Drosophila melanogaster: one gene and its partners. The protein of the gene in region 3 interacts with the protein of the main gene of each other region in a pairwise test. Each region holds a gene or a part of one and is shown on either strand. Other genes may lie near its edges. The genes, in order: Plp, Sas-6, ana2 and tacc.

Region 1 (5,192 bases), on a different chromosome or scaffold from region 3:
AATGTCGGCTTACATATATGCAAACTTTTTAAATTTTATTTAAAATATATTTATTGCAATATTTGCTTTAAAAAAAAAAGAGTTATTTCCCATTTATATTAAGTTTAAATTGTAATTTACATACAATTCAAGTCCGTACTGTATTTTGAACGACTGAAAAATATATTTTCCATATTACACATACGCCATGTGGGTCAGGCCGTAACGCTTGACAAAGTTTTCACAATATTAGCGGAAAATGCTTGTGAAAAAGTTATCCAATTCCCGGCCACATGGTGGTTTGAACGTCCTTGAACTTGTCAGGACAAAGACAACAACAACACATTCAGGAAGTACCAGCACAGCGATAAGGATATCGGGATAACAAGTTTGCACCTATAACCATGACAACGGATTTTCTTTGAGTGTGCGTGAAAAACGAAAACGAAAGTCTTTTACATTCCTTGCAAACATTTCAATTTGTTGCTATAGTTTGGACCTCTTTTGTGGGCCGTTGTTTGGGTGTGACACACATTTCAGTTGGATCGTCTGAGGTTTTTGCACTTCGGCGACTAATAACAACAATGCCACTCCCCTTTGGAACGGGAAAAGGGGCGAAGGACCTAGCCCAACGTCTCTGTTAATGGCGCTGACGCCTTTCCTTTGATTTTCCACAAGATATTGTCGATAAACCCTCAATAATGGCACGCATATTGGCGAAAATGATTAAATTAATAGCTTTGCCTGGCGCAGAATTGACAGTGAAATATGTTGGACAAAAATAAATTCGGATTGGAGAAAGGATTTTCTTTTGCGTTGCTATGAAGAAAGGTTATTTCATTTAAAGGGTTTAGTTTAATATAAATTCTTAAACGCTTGCATTTAACATTTTCATATTTTATATAAAAATTTACATATGAACACACAATTTATATGATTGTGAAGTAGATGATGAATTGCTTTATATCCTATACCCGCATTTTATTTGATTTACAAACCAAATCTTTTACAGCATTATTCTTTCAAATAGTAATTCTAATAAATAATATTCAAGAACAATTAAGAATGAGATCGTATCGTAACTAAATTTATAGAAAATATGGTAAATACTGTATAATTTTCTCTAAGTACACTGCAATGCAAAAAAAATCCACTAATTTGGTTCATTATCATGCGGTTTCGAATGATATTAACACACTTTGGCTGGCGAGTGATGCAAATGTCACTGGGCGATGCTAAAGATCACATTGCGGACAATAACTGAACTCACATGCAATTTCCCCATTTCGCTGCCCGCCACTCATTCGATTCAATTCAGCGATGAAGAAGTTATCTCAATTAAATGCAATTTACAATCACTTAAAAAGTCCATATATCGACAATGGCTATTGAGGGTTACATTGTGCAAACTTCTACGTATATGCAAATGTTTCGTAGATTTTTTTAAACAATTTTATGGGATCACAGGCACTGACACTGCACTCTTATCTTTATAGAGCTATAAATGTGCGGAAAACCGAAAAACGACGACGCGACCGCCTGCAGTGCAGGTTCTTTTATAAATAAAACGCCCGAAGAGACATTCAATTGAAATCAGTCACTCAATCCGAGGAAAATCAAAAGAAAAGCGTTGGAAAAGAGCAGCCACGGGAGAGGCCGAGCGATTGAGAGCGAGTGCCGCGGAAATTTGCAACGCGGTTCCAAGCGGTTCCGTGCACCGAATGTTCGCTCCCATTTTTTATTTATAAACAAAATGTGTGTGTGGAACATAAATTTGTTTGGAAGATGGTGATAAATGCAAAAGAGTAGTTTTAAAAGCATTTAGAACTATTGTTTTACGATTCGCGATTGCGATTGATACTGAAGTAGCTATATATATAAGTACTTAGAATTAGTATTATAATCAGAATTAATGTCCCTCAAAAACTGTTATATTTCATTTTTTATAGTTAGTAATTTATAATTATTCTATAATCATCATAAAACATTTTAAGTTAAGTTTAAAAACTTGAAGTTCAAATTTTATTTTAAAATTTGTATACAATAACAATTTAATATAAGAAATTCGAGCCATTAATCATTTCGATGAATATTAAAAATTTTTGATCATTTTCGTATACATTATCCAAAAATTTTCATCGTATTGCGGTACATGTATTAGATTTATTCAGCAACAAGTTGCAGAAACATTCTTTCCTCAACAAAATCGATAAGCGAATCGGTTATTGTAGCGAGACATTTTTTCAAAAATATGAATATTGATGTTTATAATAAACAGGGAAACAGTAGCCAAGATTCACTAATAAATGTATTAGTTATTTAACAAAGCAATTAAAACCGCATAATGTGGACAATTCAATTATAATTTTCACTTAAAAAGTTGCTCTATAATAATAAAAAGTATGCTATTCAATGATATAAAATATAATACTTATTTAAAAAATAAAATATTATTTAAAATTCCTAATCCGTTGGGTATTTTTCACTGTAGATTGTTTACAGATTTCGGAAGGGCCTTGTGGTCTTCTAATCGAAAGTTCAAAGGCGCATTCAATTTCGATTTCATTTGTAAACACACTTGAAAAACAACATGTTCTGTTTGTGGATCGTAATGAATTGAAAACACACATATCAAGGCGCATTCAACCCACATTTTGTGGATTTTATGCACAATCCGAGAGCACAGATGATGGATGTTCGGCTCCCAAATGGGTTAATACTTTAATGGATACCCCTGATTGTTTGGCTTACCCAATCGTATATAGTGTACAGATTCATGGTGACTGCACTTGAACCAAATAATTTATGGCCTATTCCCTGTTTTTTGGCCGCCTTTGTTGACACTTGCGCCTGTCAGTTGGCTATATCTATAGGCATTCTAGATGTGGCCCAAATGCGATCCATTTTCTTGTTGATGTTTTTACGTAGTGGTTTTGATGACACTATATTTTAGAATTTTTTCGGGTTGACTTGCTTACAAACACAGACGAATGCAACGAACCGAATAATTTTGTAGGTTAGGTTGGAGACTTTACGTAAAATTTGATATTTTTTTAATTTAAAGTTTAACACGAAGACAACACAATGGGGGAAACTAGCTACTTAAAGCGTGAACTCTTAATTTATCATTATGTGATTTTCAATGCTCCTCGAGGGAGAAAGAACCGACAAATTTGAAACTTAAAAACAAAAAAAAACCAATAGTGCAACCGATCTGAAACAGTTGCACGTAATAGCGAGCGCGATGCAACTGAGAACCAAATCCATTGCGAAGAGTCTTTATATTTTTGGGGTATCGGGGGATATCCACGCTCTTTTTCTCCCCATCCAGATACTGTAATGCTCAGTGAAGCACAACAAGAGATTGTTTAAAAATAATCAATCGTAAACAAAATTTGTTGCAGTGGCATTGAGTTGGGGAGAGTCCAAAAGAGAGAATTCAATGTACTACTACCAGATCGCGAGAGAAACAAAGAGAAATCCGAGAGATAAAGGGGAGGAAAGTAATTAAGTTTTATCGGTTGTTCTATAAATAAGTTTTAACCAGAGATTAAGGAACTACAAGATATATTCGATAAGGAATGATTTAAGGAAGTGAGAACACATTTATGGGTATAAATGAGACATTTATTTATAGGCTAGGGAAATATAAAGCTTTCTTTTCATTTCAATTATTCAAAAAATCTGAAATGCTACAAGAGCATTAATAATGTTTTGAGAAAAATATTGGAAGTTCAACGAAATATTTGAATGCTTAAATATCAATAAAAACGCACTCGCATATATTTTAATATAAAATATTTATTTTTATCTATTTGTTATTGCTTGTCGGTAGTTAGTCTTAAGAAAACTCGGTGAATATATCAGTATCCAATCGGTATATTCATATAAAAATATCATTCGATTAGGGTAAATATCCTTTATACACTTATTAGTTAGCTAGTCAGTTATTTGTTTATAAATGCTGTTAACTATATAAAATATTTCCATATTTTCTAGGCATCCTGTTGTAAGGCGATTTCTGTCCCCCTCGGGGATAATATTGTCCTGTGTTTTTTGTACTTTAAAAATTCAATACAAAATTTGAATGTCGTTCGATAAATTGCTTTCAATACGTCAGTTTTCAATTTGGCAGATCTTTTGAGCATTGTTATTTTCTTGATCCTAAATAATTTGGCTAACGAACTTAAAATTCGAAAGGAGTCCAATAGTTTGAGCTGCTTTTGCTTTGTAGTTTCTCAGTGCTACAAAATTAGTTTAGTTAATCACATTAAAAGGTGAAAGTGCATGAGAATTCCGTACAACCTTATAGGTCAATTAGGATTTCCGCCCTCCTTTTGCTTAAACTTGGTGGAGTATTTGTAGAAATCGGACATCTCGAAGGGTTTCGTCACTTCCTTGTACGGCTGGAAAGTGGCCTGCTGAACTACGGTCATGTTTTTGGGCGACTCGATGCGAATTTCCGGCGATAAACTGGCTGTGGCCACTGTTACTGGCGGTGACACAAGCGCTGTTTGGACAGCATTCCCATGAGCAAGTCCGCTTGAACTGCCATTACCACTGTGACTTAGGTTCTGGTTCTGAGTATGAGCCTGATTTGCGGGTGGCGGTCTGGGCGGCGGCGTTGGCTGCTGCATTTGACTTGGCTTGGGTGGTAAGTTTCGCAGTGCTGGTATGTCCAGAGGTTCCAGCGGATACGATACCGATATCCCCAAAGTTTGCTCCATTGCATTGAGATACGAAGTCGATTGACTTAGCAGGGCTTTCGAACTGGTATTCACCGCATAGCTGGCACTGGGATAATTCGGAGTCGGTCGCTGGTTGGACATGGAATAGTGACGACCCGCTACCGACATGGACTGCGAGGAGAGCTTAGCGCGGGGTTTACTTGAAACCATGGCAGCTGCGCCGGGATTACTACTCCCATTACTACTCCCAGCTGGACTGTGGGGCTGTGAATCCATCTGCCTGATAACAGCTGGCCCATCTAGCGAAGATTCCAGCCACTGCTTGGGCTTGGGCTTCTTCTCAATGGTCGTGGACGAGGATGACAGTGAGATCTCATCGTGCGGCGGATAGCGGCTGGGTGGCATAGGCACCGCCAGCATATCGCTGGAGTGCGATTTCACCTCTATTATGCCCAATTGTGGAGGAGTTAAGGGCGCTATGTGTGACTGGGAACGCCATCGATATTGCTGCTGATGCTGGGCAGC
Region 2 (4,291 bases), on a different chromosome or scaffold from region 3:
TGGGGACCTGTTTGATAACCACACAAAGCTTCGAAGTCTCGATAACGATAGTTGTCCCCAACCAACCCTAGACCCTAACAGTAATCTTTTGGCGGGATGATTTAAAAACGCAAATGGTGTTTATGATTGTATTGATTGATTGACTCGTCGTATCTAGTTGCACACAAGAAATATGATTATTTAAGTATTGCATAAATATCGAAACAATCTTAGACTACGAATAACAAATATACTGTTGATGTTGGTCTTAAAAGTACACGGCTATAGGACAAATTAAAAGTCGTCGTCGTTGGCTTAACTAAAAGATTCTGCGCGCGGAACAATGAAAAACAAAATTCGGCTATTACATTATTAAGTGGAGTACACGTGGACTGGCAAACATCGTTGCTGCATTGCACTTGCTTAAAATCTTCTATTGCCGCCCATATTTGGCCCGGGTCTGGGCCCGTTGAAGCTGGAAATGGCGATGATTGGGGTTAGTGGTTTTTATGCAGACGATATGAATGAACCTACCGGTTTCTTTGGCCTGGACCTCCGCCGCCACTGCCCAAGGGCGGGAACTCCGAGTGATATGCATTTATGCCATTCTGATTGTGATTTCTACCTCCTGAACCTCCGCGTTTGCTTGGGCCTCCTTGGGGACTGCTTGTCTCGTGACTGCTATCGCGTCTGTCATTGAATCCGCCTCCTCCTCCATTGAAAAATCCACGTCCTCCCGGTGGATTTCCTCTATATGGCAAAACAAGATATTATATATAATTTAGAACCCAATCTTATGCACAACTTACCCATTAGTCCCACGATTGCCAGAGTTCATTGGTCCATTGCCAAAGCGTCCGAAGCCCATTTGCTGCTGCTGATGCTCTACAGGCAGGGCAAATCCACGTCGATCCTGTCGCACATGGCTTGGACCTGGGCCGCCGCCGCCGGCCCTCTGATTTACGGATCCTCCTCCCCCGCTGCTGGAGCTGCCTCCCTGAAAGTCACTATTATTGCCTCCTCCCCTATATCCGCTGGTTGGACTGTTCTTAAAGTTTCTTCTGCCAGGCTGTGGTCCACTGTTGTCCCGCTGCTGAAACCGATTGCTGCCGAAGCGTCCCTCGTTGCCCGCGCTTCCACCGAACTTGCCTCCGCCTGCAAATTTGTTCCTAAAGCCCTGTCCCTGATTGGAAGACTCATTGTTCGGTGGTCCTTTCGAGTATGGAGCACTGCGCTGTTGTCTGTAGTTGGACTCGTTTCTCACGGGACCAAATTTGGCGGCCGAGGAGTTCGAGCTCCTTGGGCCTTCGTTGGAGAATCTGCCACCGACTTCCTCACGAAAGTTGCGCTTGAAGTTGGTATTGGATTCATGAGGTCTCTTGTCCGCCCCGCCACCTTGAACTGAGGATGATGAAATACTTAGATGCTGGATCTTTGGAGTGATCAAAGCTTACCCTGCGAGGGCCTGCGCCCCGGATTGTCCCCAGAGCCCGGCTGACCTCGACTGCCACCTCCCGGGCCGTACTTTGGCCTGCCCGCCTCCACCACAATGGGCTGGCCCTTGAAGATGGTGCCATTCAGCGCTGCGATGGCCGCCTCCGCCATGTCCGTGTTCTCCAGATGGACGAAGGCGCAGCGATTCATCACGTCGCACTCAACGACCGATCCATAGTTGGTGAACAGTCGACGCAGCTCCTCCGGCTTGCAGCGCGGCAGGCTGCCGACGAACACCTTGGCGGTCTGCAGGATAAAGCTAGCATTACTCCGGATTACTATGGACAATCCGGCGGCGCTGCCTCTTTCTTACGTACAGTATTCATGTATTTATTTTTCTCTACAACTTTTCGCTGTTTTTTTCTTTTATTGAAATGGAGATGGACAACTGTGCACCTGACCGGCAGTGTGACCAGCGATGGCTACTTCCACGGCCATATCGGTAGCTATCGACATCGATAGACCCAAGCCATCACTTTTGTTTACCAATTTTAAAATTTTAAAAATTAAGGTTTCTCACGAGCCTGATCTATCATGTGGCCTCCAGGGAGCGAGGATAGCTACTCCGCCAAAATGGACTATGGCAAGAGCGTGGTGAACATCCTGCCCAGCGTAGAGATGCTGGTGAACTTTAATGGCGAAATGACGCGGTCTAGCAAACGGTCATGTCTACTGTACGCGGAGAGAGTGGACTTCAAGGAGCTGCTGGTAAATATGCTTGTCAAGACCTCCTCCGATCAAATTTCAATACATCCTCTGCCCCACAGCAACTCCGATTAACGGAGAAGTCCGATCAACGGCGCATGTACATCACCACAGTGGACAGCGCCTCCTTTCAGGATCTTAAACAGGATCAGTCGCTGAATGTGTCATTCTCTGGGTTCATTGACAATGTAGTGCGCATGCTGAAGGACTGCCAGTCGGGTAAACTGGAGCTGCACCTGACCACACGGGATCAGAACCTTTCATCCGGCAGGGAGGTCCACGACTATTATCTTCAGTTTGTTGAAATTCGGTCCTTTAAGAACCTAGTTCACCTTAGCCTGCCTTGTCGTTCTGCTCCCTTGAACACCGTACTCTTCTACATAAACAGCATGCTGGAAGCCTCCCACAAAAAGCAATATATTCTCGAGCAAAGTATGCAGCAAATGCAGGCTGAAATCAACGCACAACGCGCGCATGCGGAAAGGTTGACCACGGAAAACACAAATATCAGGGAAGCTTTGGCCGAAAATACTCGCATCTTAGAGGAAAAGCATGCTGCCGAGGTCCATCAATACCAGGAAAAACTGTCCAAAATAAACGAGCAGCGCAGCAATGAGCTGGAGAGAAATCGTAGAGCGATCTCCGGCTTTCAGGCCCAATTGGACAAGGCTTCGTTGGAGAAAGCAGAACTAAAGTCGGCCCAAGAGCAGGCCGAGAAACGATGTCAAACCCTGTCCGAGGAGTTGTCCTGTTGCAAAGCCAGAGTGTGCACCCTAAAAGAGCAAAATGACAAACTGCACGGGGATGTGGCCAATATCAGGAAGCATGAACGCAAGTTGGAGTACAAAATCGAGGACCTCAAGCAGCACACTGTCGAGCTGCAGGAACATATTCAAAAGGGAAACAAAGAGAAGGTATGTGTATAAAAAGAATAATGCACATCAGAAGAGTATATCCCTTTTAATTTTGCAGGCCAACATAGCCGCTGAACTGGAGGCCGAGAAGAAGATCCTGCACACCAAGCGCCAGGCTTTGGAAATGGCCTCCGAGGAGATCTCCAAGGCCAACCAGATAATCGTTAAACAAAGCCAGGAGCTGCTCAACCTCAAAAAGACCATTGCCTGGCGCACAGAGGTGGCTCTGCAGCAAGAGAAGGCGGTTCAGGCCAAGGAGAGCCTACTATCCCTGCGGGAGAATGAGCTGCGCGAGGCTCGAATAACTATTGAAAAACTGAGGGAGGAAATCCCCCAGCAACTGCAATCCATGCGTAACTTTGCCCAGGGACTGGAGCAGAAGTATTCCAAACGTAAGCTGAGACCCCAATCTTTAAGTGTACCTACTTACAACTTGCTCTTTTCAGAAATCCTCATTCTAAAAGAACGGCTTGCAATACCCACGGGCAAAGAAAATCGGCGATAGTTTTACTTATTGTTAATGCATTTTTTCGTTTTTTGTACCAGTTTAGTAAAGTTAGTTGTATTATTCAGCTCTAGTCATAATCCTCCTGAACACTTTCACCTGCATGAGCCGTGGCCACATTCACCGCTTGGCTGATATCCTCCATTTGGTTCAGTTTCAGTCGCTCACGGATGAGTTCAGCAATAGCTTTCTGGGTACGTCGTTCCAGTCGCTCCAACTTTTTGCTGGCATCCCGCTTCAGATCCCAGTCGGGTTTTCGGGGAGCCAGGTTGGTTATGTCAATCTCATCTATCACCATGGGCTGCTGGAGCAGACTCAATTGATCCTCCACAGCTGATTCTATGTTGCCCGTGGGTTCCTGTGCTAGAATCTCGCCATCGGTGGTCTCATTCTGGGGCTTGTAGCTGCGGAAAACTGGTCTGCAAAGATATATGAAACTGGTTTATAGGGATTCATAATAGCATTTCATTGTATTGCTGACTTGGGTAACTTTTCAATGGACTCGGCAGCGTCTCCTCCTTTGTTTTGCACTTGTTCCCGGAGTTTTTGCAGACGCTCCTTGCGTTTTAGAGATTCTTGTGTCAGCTTGCCGACGCCATTGTTGTCCATCATGCCCATGTGAAGTTTGTTCTCAAGATAATACAATTAATTTAAATTTGAGTCTGGGGTCTTTACGTTTATTTATTATTGTTAT
Region 3 (4,377 bases):
AGCAGCATCAGCAATCATATCTCCAGCCTCAGCAGCCAGCCCCTGGGATTCAGCAGCCAAACTGGCAGGGACAACAGCAAACCATTGGCTATACCGAGCAGCCAGCGCCCATCCAGCAACAGCGCCAACCGGCGCCGCCCAAGGAGAAGCCACCACTCCCCGAGGAGTACATCTACTTGCAGACTGTGCTGGAGGAGCTGAAGAACCGCTGCCTGGGCGCAACCAATGATCCGGTAAGTCTATTAATAAATGATCCATATAGACAAAAGGAATAACTTACTTTTGTTTATAAATTTTCTTACATTTTAAGCGCACAAAACGAAAGTTTGTCGATGTTGTCAAGAGGCTCGAAAATCTCTACGACTGCCTGAGAGATGGAAAGGTGAGAGCTGCTGCCTTAGATCGCGATTCAATTGCAATTCTCAAATGGCATTTACTTTAATTCCAGCTCACTCCCACCACGGTGCAATATCTGAATCAAATAGTTCAGTACATTCAAATATCCGACTATGCCAATGCTATGGAAATCCACACGCAAATCGCCTTCGGAACGGACTTTGCGCAGTGCGCGGGCTTTATGCAGGGACTGAAGGTCCTACTGCAATCCGCATCCGAGCTACAGTTGGTTCTGCGTTAGAGCCCCGTCGCCGGATCGCAGCCAAGTTCACTAAACGTATATTCTTATTGTGTCTTCAGATATCGATGTCAAACACAAAATGTTTTGTATACAAAGAGTGGTTCTCTACGTTAGTTTAGGCTGGGATCACCAGAAGATTGTCAACGTTATTCCGTGTATTGAAATATATTTCCACTTAAATCGCAAATAGACATATGCATAAATAACAAAACGAACATTGTACATGCTTTCACAACAGCTTCGGCTGGTTCCTGATATTCTCCAAGTCCAGTTGAATATGTGGCGAAGGGGCGGTCGCCGCCATGGGAGATTGTGGACACACCGGCTCCAGTTGCTCCTCGGGCAGCAGACGGTATTTTTTGAGATACTTGTACGAAGCATTGGATATGTCGTTTGGACTCTGCGCGTGGCCTATGTTGTCGATCGGACGCAGTGGCTCTGGATTAGGGGACTTCGGCGACGCCCCCAGGCGCATATCCTTCATCAACTCATCCACTGGCTGGCGCAAGTATTTCAGCGCCAGCTCGTTCATCACCATGCTCTTCTCGGTGTTGGGCTTGGCCAGTTGAGGGATCCGCTTCGCCTGAGGCGTATTGGCCCGGTAGCCCGTAGATTGGGCGATCGGCGGATGTGGTCGAGGAGACGGAAACTGAGGAATCACTCGTGCTTGTGGCGGCGGCAATGGTTCCTCCTCCTCTGCTATGTAATCCTGCATAATGGGAGACAAGCGTCTACCTGCTAGGAAGGATGTTTTATTGGATTCTTTTCATACAGATTCAACGTACGCACCTTGATTGGTGGTCAGAATATCGCACTGGGTGCCAGTGGTACTGCTGGCTTTTGAAATGGCTTCGGGTTTCGCTCGCTGCTGTTGCTCCAAAATCATCTCGCAGAGATTCCGAAGCTGTTGCTGCTCATGGCGCACGGACTCCACAAGGGATACCAGAGCCGCCAGATCACTCTTATTGGCCAAGTTGCTGACGTCGATGTCGGAATAGACAACCTGGGGCAGTGATTTTCGCGGAGGAGATGGGTTGAAGGGATCGGTCTGTGTGCCAGCACAGATGGTGAGGACATCTGCGTTGGAGGAGCTGGACAAGCGCCTAGATTGATATGCCTGTTGCTTGGGCTCGGCATTATAGCCACCAGCATTGCAGTTCATATGATTGGTAGTCTGCTGCGCATCGCTTGCATAGTTGCGATCCCGGGGCATTACTTGGTATTCCTTCGAGGAGCACGGACTATTGCTGCTGGGAGCGGTGCGAGGACCCAGTTCTGTGGCCAAAATGGGCGAAAAGTTGACCCTGGGCAGCATTTGCTTCTTCCAGGACGCGAAGGTGGGTGCAGCACGAGGGGATGACTCCTGATGTGCATGATTTGGCTGCTGCGGCTGCATCTGCGGATCCTGCGGCGGCTGGCCAAACAATATGGATACCTCCGGCACGGTGGGCCCTATAATCTCATTGGTGTGGCCCATGGGCACTGCTGCACTCGGCCTGGGCGCTAGTCTGGGCAGCATATCCTCCGTTTCGGGAACAAACATTTGGAGCGTATTTGTTTATATTTGCCGATTAAATTAAATTCGAGCGGGAGAATCTGTCCAATTGGAAGTCGATCGACTTAGGGGTGGAACTAGGGCTGACGTAAAACGCCAACTTATCGATACTTTATCGAGTGTACCCTACACTTAGCCAAGTTTCCAAGTGCACGAGTCACCCAGCGGACTGTGTGTCATAGCAAAAGCTGAAATTTCTCGGGGGAAAAATGCCTGTTTTGGAGCACATCAAAGCCATGGCAGAGACTCCGACTCCAGCTGAGAACAGCCCTGCACCGGCAGACGAGAATGCTCCGCCCCAGGCAGTCCGGGAACTGACGCAGACCGACCATCTCAACCGACGCCTTCTCAAATCGCTCCTGGAAAACATGCAGGCCACCGAGGTTCTGGCGCAGGAGAACGGGAACGGCTCCAACGAGGAGGACAACGATTTCGAAGAATAAATCCTTTTATTAGAGTACAGTAAAACTAATGAGCTAAAACGGATCAACAATCGTCAGTTTCGGGCGGGGGTCACCTATATGCGACGGCGCTTGTTGCTCTGCACCGGCGGCGGCGTAGTGGAGGGGCTGATGGACTCGTTGGACATGGAGCCGCGTGTGCGCTTGGCCGGACGCTTGGGCAGCTGCTCCTGGGGCTTGGCGACGGGCTTTTTGTCGCCGTCCTTGGTGGAATTCGTCGGTACCGGCGTTTTGGTTGCAGGTGGAGCTGTAAAACAACATTACAAGTGAATGAATCCTGATGATAACTAACGAACTACCTTTGCCATTGGTCTCTGCTGTTGGAGGGGCCGACTGTGCCTCTGCAGCCTCCTCGTTGGCATGCACTTCCACCGTCTTTTTGGTCTGTAGCGTTCCGTAATCCTGCTCCGGCAGGCTGAACTCGCGCTCCTCGTTGGGAAAGGGCAGCGACTCCAGATCGTCCAGTTCCTTCAGCTTGTACATGGTGCCCAGGTGGCGCCAGATCAGCTCGCTGGGCATTTCACGGTTCAGCGACTTGGACAGACGCTGGACAATGCAGGACATGTAGAAGTGCTTGTTGATGCCCACCGGGCGCAGGCCTTCCATTGCATGGAACAGCTGCAGCTCTTCCTCGGCGGACCACTCGTGGTCGAGGGCGGCCGGTAAGGGGGCCGCCGTTCCGGCCACAGCCAGACCCTTGTCCTTGGCCATCATTTTGCAGAGCGCATGGAACTAAAAACTGATACGTATTGTATGTTTTTCTGCGCGAATATTAGCGATGGTATGCGGGTGCGCTCACGCACCCGAACTATCGCCGCGCGGCACATCACTAGTTTGGGTGTGTATCCACTTTTATTCGTCAACTTTGCTCGATTTTAGCCCGTAGAGTTCGAGATTTAAAAAAAAAAAAAACATATAAGCCGGAGCTGGTAATTAACAAATAGTGTGCAAATATAGTTATGTGTTGTGTGTGCATCCGTCGAAAACTTCACTTTTCCACTATAATCCCTCTGCTAACCACACGGCGCAGTACGCCTTCGTGTGTTTGTGTGTGTGTTCTCCTTCACTATTTCTGCATAAAAAACTAATTTTCGGTGTTCCCAACGAGTTGAGCAGTGTTTTTTGCACACAACTCGGGTTCTCCATGTGCTGGCACAAGTAGCGCCCACCGCCCACCACCACGCCCACTTGGGGTCAGTTAATAACCTTGCACTTGTTCGCGTCAAGGCTTCCAGTTCGGCTGGAAAGTTAATCAGCAATGCGATCGATGAAACCAATGCCTGCGTTCGGTTCTTTACATGTGCCACAAAATAACACATATGTTAATGCGTAGTGTGACTCACTATCTAGCTATCCTAACTTCCCGCCTAGTACTAAACACTGACTAAACTACACCAATCTACCAACTATCTCTGTCTAGAATCGCGAAAATGTACACATATGTTATAGCTTTGTGTCGCCTGTTCGATGTTGTGCCCGTATGGGGAAGCCTGTACAAAGAATGAGATATCTAAACTACATATAACCAACTTGTTATTTCCAGCCAGCCATTAAGATCCATCCAAACCAGTATTCCCAGAATCATACGATAAGATAAGCCAAAGCCAAAGATCAAAGACCAAGCCCTTCGGCGAAGCCACACAAGCACTAGCAACCAAGCACACCACCCCAAATCCACTATCCCGTAATTGCATTTCCCAGTATCCGTAACACTGAGAACCTTT
Region 4 (5,425 bases), on a different chromosome or scaffold from region 3:
GAGTTAAGCACTGTGGCATCATCCACTTTCATGGATTCATCCACATCCATTTGATCAAGCTCCTCCACAGTCCTGTCTTCAGTTGCCTCCATAGCTGGGGATGCATTTTGCTCAAGGCTGATGGCAGTGCATGGTCTCTCCATTGATTCTACTGCCACCGAAAATTGCTTCTCTTGATTAGGGTATTCTAGAGATTTTGCTGATTTTGTGGACAGTTCTGAAGAAGCCTCTTTGAGATTTAAGGCCTTTTCAGGCTCCTTAGGATTTTGTGCGTCCTTCACCTGAGCACTACTGACCGGGTGGTGCTTCTCTTTCTGAAATATATCTTTTGTATTTGTTTGCATTTCCTCTTGATGCTTAGCTAAGTCTTTCGTAGAGTCCAAGGCAGATAAGGTGAGCTTCGGCTCAAAGGATTGTGTACCAGACTCCTCAGACAGTACTGATTCTACCAATGATTCTGATTCCTTTGCATCACTATTGGGTTTAGAGTGTTTGGCTAACTGGTCTAGTTCAACCCTATTTTGCTCCTGATTTGGATGATAGTGCACAAAATTATTCTCTGGTTTTGACTGGGTTACGCTGAGAATATGCGTTTGCATAAGATGACGGTCTTCCGCATTCAAGACGTCCTTTAACATTTCCATGGTTTCGTTTAGGTCATCCACATCCATGGCTTCATAGCTGACGTTGTTGTGCTGGCTAACTGCCAAAGGATCGTTGAATTCAGCTCCCAGTGTAGAAACTGAGGTCATGGACAGCTGCTGCTCCAAAACATCATTAAGGGCACTTGAATATGCCTCTAACTCCGATCGATCTCCGGTGTAGCGCTCGCTATGAAGCGATAAACACTCGACAAAAACATCCGAATCCGAATGGTTGGATTTCAGTTGAGCTAAGGGAGGAATGAATGCGATATATTAATCAATTCGTTTTAATAATAATTAAATACATATAAGAAATTTATTTATATAATTAATACAACGAGAAATTTATACATAAACTTGGAAATGATTTATTTTCCCCAGCTGGCCCTTTCCTTTGTATAAATGACGGTATTGAAATAGAAGAAATTACTTCGCTCTTCTGGCGGATTTCGTATGGAATTCTTTTGTACATCAATATAATTTTTCTACCTTAAGAGATTTCTGGGTTACACAAACAAGATTTACTCACTATCCATATCGGTACTTAAAGGAGCTAGTTCCGGTATTTGCGTCTCATCGAACTCGGGAAGACCTCCAAACTTTGGAACGAGGTCGTCTTCTGGCTTAAGTCCACCGGGTACCGCCGTCTGATGCCCCAGAGCTGCCGCCATTGCCTTCTGTTGATCCATGCTCGTTGGCTTGGGACTGGGCTTCACCGCCAACGGACTCAGCTGCCAAACAAGAGATGCAAAATTTAAGAATATAGTTATCAAGATGTACATCGCGGTCATGATCCGAATAGTTTTAAACCGTGAACAACCGATGTTGGGAATGGGGTTTTAAAGATGATCACGAGTAGCAGCTGGTTGGTCATTTAATTAAGAATTTTTGACACACAAAAAGGCAAGAGCCCCACCACAGTTGGCATAAATAAATCGCATTTGGGATGACTTTTCCCGTATTTTCCCATTGCCAAGAAATTATACAAAGGCATAGGACCCCCATTTTTAGTTATTATCATATACAAAAGAATACATTATTATGAAATTATGATCTTCATTTGAAAAACTTCAATCTCATCTAATGTAGCCCATATGATACAGATGCCTTCAATTCACGCTTAAAAAAGACATACATTTCAAATGTTTGTCGCAGTCGGTCAGTCAACAAAAGCAAATGTCATTAATTAAAAAGCCAGCCAAGACGTAAAAATCGGGTATATGGCATATGTTTGGGAGGGTGGCAACGAAACGGATTGAGGAGCAAAAGGTGGGGAGATGGACGTGGAACTGGGTCGACGTCAGCTTTTGTGCAGTGCGAAATAAACATGCCGCGGATTCAATGCGGCCGGCCGCCATGTTTAATGTCTATTTAGGTTTGGGAGCATCGTTCTACACGCGGAATTTAATTAGAGCGCATTGCAGTATAATGGGTGCTGCAAGGTTAAAGTCAGAAGAATAAGGCGAGTGGTGACCGGCTTATGAGCGAGACACTAAAAATTAGGAAAATTCTGGCATTAGACCAATTTCTCCGTTTCGATTTTATTGATAAGTATTTTAATTTTAATTTTTTGACAATGGGCTCAAATTTGAGTGGTAATGGGAAGCAGATTCCTGCGGAATATTAGCCCAAGCTAATGGCTAGATACAACCCTATTTAAAATAATATTTTCTGCAACGCAATAAGGTGACAAAACCAAGTGGAACCGCATAAATACTATATATGCAATCGGCAAAACACATTGGGACATTACAAAAAAATTCCAATGTGTAGATTTATGCAGTTTGCCTAATACTAGAACACCCCCCCCCCCCCCCCCAGGGATGCACATAAAAAGATAGTCCTAATTCTTTCAGACATACCTCGCCACTCATGGCTTGCAAGTGCTCCATTTCGTTAGCACTCACTTGGTTCAGATTGAAGTTTATTTCGCTTAGAAATTTCTGTATTTCTTCTCTACTATCAGTGCTGTCCTCGGGGGCTGGGAGTGGGTTCGAGATGGATTCCATAAATAGTTCACAGTGCTTTCCCTCCAGTCGTTGCAGCTCCTCAGAGGCGGACTCTAGTAACGAGTCCAGGTGCGCGGATACAAGTGTAACTCCTCCCTTATCCCTTGGTGTAGAACATTCATCAGCGGGACTAGCAGCTTCTAGGGCTTCCATTGTCGTTGGCTGATTGGTGCTGATGCCAGTGGTGGCGATGCTTTTGGGTCTTTTGATGATATTCGCGAGGAAATCCATGCCGCTCTACGCACGATTAACTCCTGAGACGCGATACGGTTCACTTGGCTCCAAAAAATAATGGATCTATAGAGTTCCTTAGTTTGGTCTTTAGTGTTTTTTTTTTTTTTTTTTTTTTGTGGTTTTTGTTGTGACACAGATTTGGGCTCGCCTACTCGGTAAAATCTTTACTGTGATTTTCCGCTTCCATTATATTGGGTAATACCTCCGGGTTTCTCACGGCCCGTTGTCGCGTGCGGTTCTCACTGCCTCCCGATCATGTCTGCCTTTAAAATCAATTTAAAAATATTTTCGTTTTCAATTTGCTTTGCTCTGCTCAGCGTCACACATGCACAAATACTTAGAGCACGGCGAGAGTGCGGGGGATCGACAGACCGAGTGAGAGAACGAATAGTTTGAATGGCATCCACATAACGATCCGGATGTTTTCGTATGTCTTCATGTTTGGATCGTTTTAGCCCACATGGCGTTCTCCCCTTATCAGCACGGTCCTCTCTTCCATTTATAATACTGCCATATGTTTTCACATGTGAGACGGCGGCTAGAGACACCTTTGTATATTACACATTATGGATTTCATACCAACTTAAAACATTTATTTAGCACATCCTTAGTCTTGAAATAGTTCCGATAAGTTATACTCTGAACTTTTAAGCACAAATATTCCTAATGAAAATTAAATCAAAACAACAGAGAACTCAGTCGTTTTTCTCGACTACCCATTACTCAGCTTTTGGAGCTACGAGAAATATACCCTTCAAAGATTTTATTAGCATATAAATAATATAAGTCTTAGTGGCCAGATAGACTTGGCTGGTGATTCTGAAGATGAAATCTTATCCTTTCTATGGTTGGAATAGTTACCCTTTTCTATTTCGAGAAAATATATTGGGTTTTATGAAGCTAGAGGGCAACACACACTTGATCCATTTAAACACACTTCTCTTAGATATATGAAATACATTTTGGAAACGGTCGAGGTCGTGGGCAACATTTATAAAATAATAATGTCAAAAGAGCGGGCTCAAGTTGACAACCTTTTTGACTGAACTGCAGTGAAAAACTGAAAAACTATACAGGCCTCAGACGAAATTCAGACTGAAAGGCAGCAGTGAAAGTGCAAGACACCGCAAATAAGTCGAAACACTTAAAGAAGGGGATAAATAAATGGGATACGAGAATACGGCGACCGCCGACTGCTTATATTGTCTTCGCAAATCAACTGGAGGAACTTGGTGCAAATTCAACGCTTTGATGACAGAATTATTTTGCACATTTTCCATAGGATTTTTGGAGAACAGTCTTATTTGCAAAATGCTTTCTCTTAAAGATATACCAGTAGAGGCAAGTAGAGTGCTCTAAAATAATAAATATGTTGATTTGGCTCATCACATTGTTTCAAGTGTAGAGGCCTGGTGGGTCCCAGATGACATGCAATCCCACAGCCATTGTTGCGCATCATGGCGCACTATCTGCAAGCTCCACATTGCCCAACGGCTGACTTTGCATGTTTGGCGAGAAAATGTAAGCAATGAAACGGAATCCCACACGATGGGCCTTGACGAGGGGGGAATAGTTAGATGTTGGCTCTAGCGTTATCCAAGCAGCGCGCGACAGGTGACAAGATATCACACGGTTCCCGGCTCAGGGTGAATTTAAAACCAATGTAGTTTGTTGAAGCATATAAGCCTTGAGTGGAATCCAAATAGTGGCCACAAATGAGTATACTGATTTCAGAAAACACAATAAATACAATAGAATAGAATACAAGTGGAATTTGAACCTTAAGCTGCAATTCGAATATCCAATAGAACTCAGGAAAATAAAAGAAAACAAATATTGAGGAAGAGCCAACTATAAACTGATCTAAAAATAGGCAAATGTGGAAAGGGGTGGAAACCATCTGTAGATCCTTTATAATGAGCATTTTTGTTGGCAAAAGGGAAGATGGAGTTAAATGACATTTAGTCAAACTTAAATCCTCAGATGGGCGTTTTTTGGACTGTAAACCGCATTAGGCACTGACATTTTGCAGCCGTTAGCCGCCAACTGATTTATTGGCATAATAGCGATACACACTAGCATTTTTAAATGGAAAGTGCACCATCTGGAGAGTGGAAATTTCAAGAGACAAATATATAGAAGGAAGAATAAGTAACTTTTGATTTTCCCTTGGCATACCCGATTCCCTCGTCCGTCGTCCGCCTTTATGGTAATTTTCCCGGACAAGGCCCTCGGTTTCCGTGTCTTGCCCGGCTTATTGCCCATTCTCCTATGGCTATGGCAGATCGGGGAAACTGGTCACCTGGGATGGACAATGTCCGGCGGACACCGATCAACTAGAGAACTCTCGTTCGCGACAGCTGCCTCAGAGCTAATAGGAACAGCGAATAATGGAAATTTATATGTACATATGTATTTACGATGAACAATTGCGAATAAAGAAAATAGCAGAACAGCCTGCGACGCAGCATACCCACACATATGTACAAAGTACATAACCGAACACACACATATGTACCTGTAGACGTGTGAGTTGAA

What was found.
Region 1: the proteins of ana2 (region 3) and Plp interact in a two-hybrid assay, tested with the Drosophila melanogaster proteins (one study listed by BioGRID).
Region 2: the proteins of ana2 (region 3) and Sas-6 interact in a two-hybrid assay, tested with the Drosophila melanogaster proteins (2 studies listed by BioGRID).
Region 4: the proteins of ana2 (region 3) and tacc interact in a two-hybrid assay, tested with the Drosophila melanogaster proteins (one study listed by BioGRID).

What each region holds. Positions count from the first base shown.
Region 1 is NT_037436.4:15,087,062-15,092,253, forward strand, and holds the start of Plp (Pericentrin-like protein), read right to left. Parts: upstream 3,133-5,192; 5' UTR 2,758-3,132; coding exon 2,731-2,757; intron 1,493-2,730; exon of another isoform or gene 1,265-1,492; coding exon of another isoform or gene 1,250-1,264; intron 1-1,249. Other genes in the region: sstn (stepping stone), read right to left, coding at 4,293-5,192.
Region 2 is NT_033777.3:29,993,360-29,997,650, forward strand, and holds Sas-6 (spindle assembly abnormal 6), read left to right. Parts: upstream 1-1,997; 5' UTR 1,998-2,007; coding exon 2,008-2,181; intron 2,182-2,240; coding exon 2,241-3,092; intron 3,093-3,150; coding exon 3,151-3,484; intron 3,485-3,538; coding exon 3,539-3,597; 3' UTR 3,598-3,667; downstream 3,668-4,291. Other genes in the region: CG7903 (uncharacterized protein), read right to left, coding at 403-454, 514-729, 789-1,380, 1,434-1,719, 1,791-1,799; CG15525 (uncharacterized protein), read right to left, coding at 3,668-4,016, 4,079-4,215. UniProt on the Drosophila melanogaster protein: Central scaffolding component of the centrioles ensuring their 9-fold symmetry. Required for centrosome biogenesis and duplication. In ciliated neurons, required for centriole assembly but not necessary for cilium basal body and cilia function.
Region 3 is NT_033778.4:8,897,941-8,902,317, forward strand, and holds ana2 (anastral spindle 2), read right to left. Parts: upstream 2,272-4,377; 5' UTR 2,181-2,271; coding exon 1,427-2,180; intron 1,376-1,426; coding exon 867-1,375; 3' UTR 789-866; downstream 1-788. Other genes in the region: Sec31 (secretory 31), read left to right, coding at 1-233, 311-382, 449-637; CG13751 (uncharacterized protein), read left to right, coding at 2,402-2,635; MrgBP (MRG/MORF4L binding protein), read right to left, coding at 2,710-2,900, 2,953-3,367.
Region 4 is NT_033777.3:4,743,291-4,748,715, forward strand, and holds the start of tacc (transforming acidic coiled-coil protein), read right to left. Parts: upstream 3,125-5,425; 5' UTR 2,885-3,124; coding exon 2,507-2,884; intron 1,376-2,506; coding exon 1,174-1,375; intron 893-1,173; coding exon 1-892.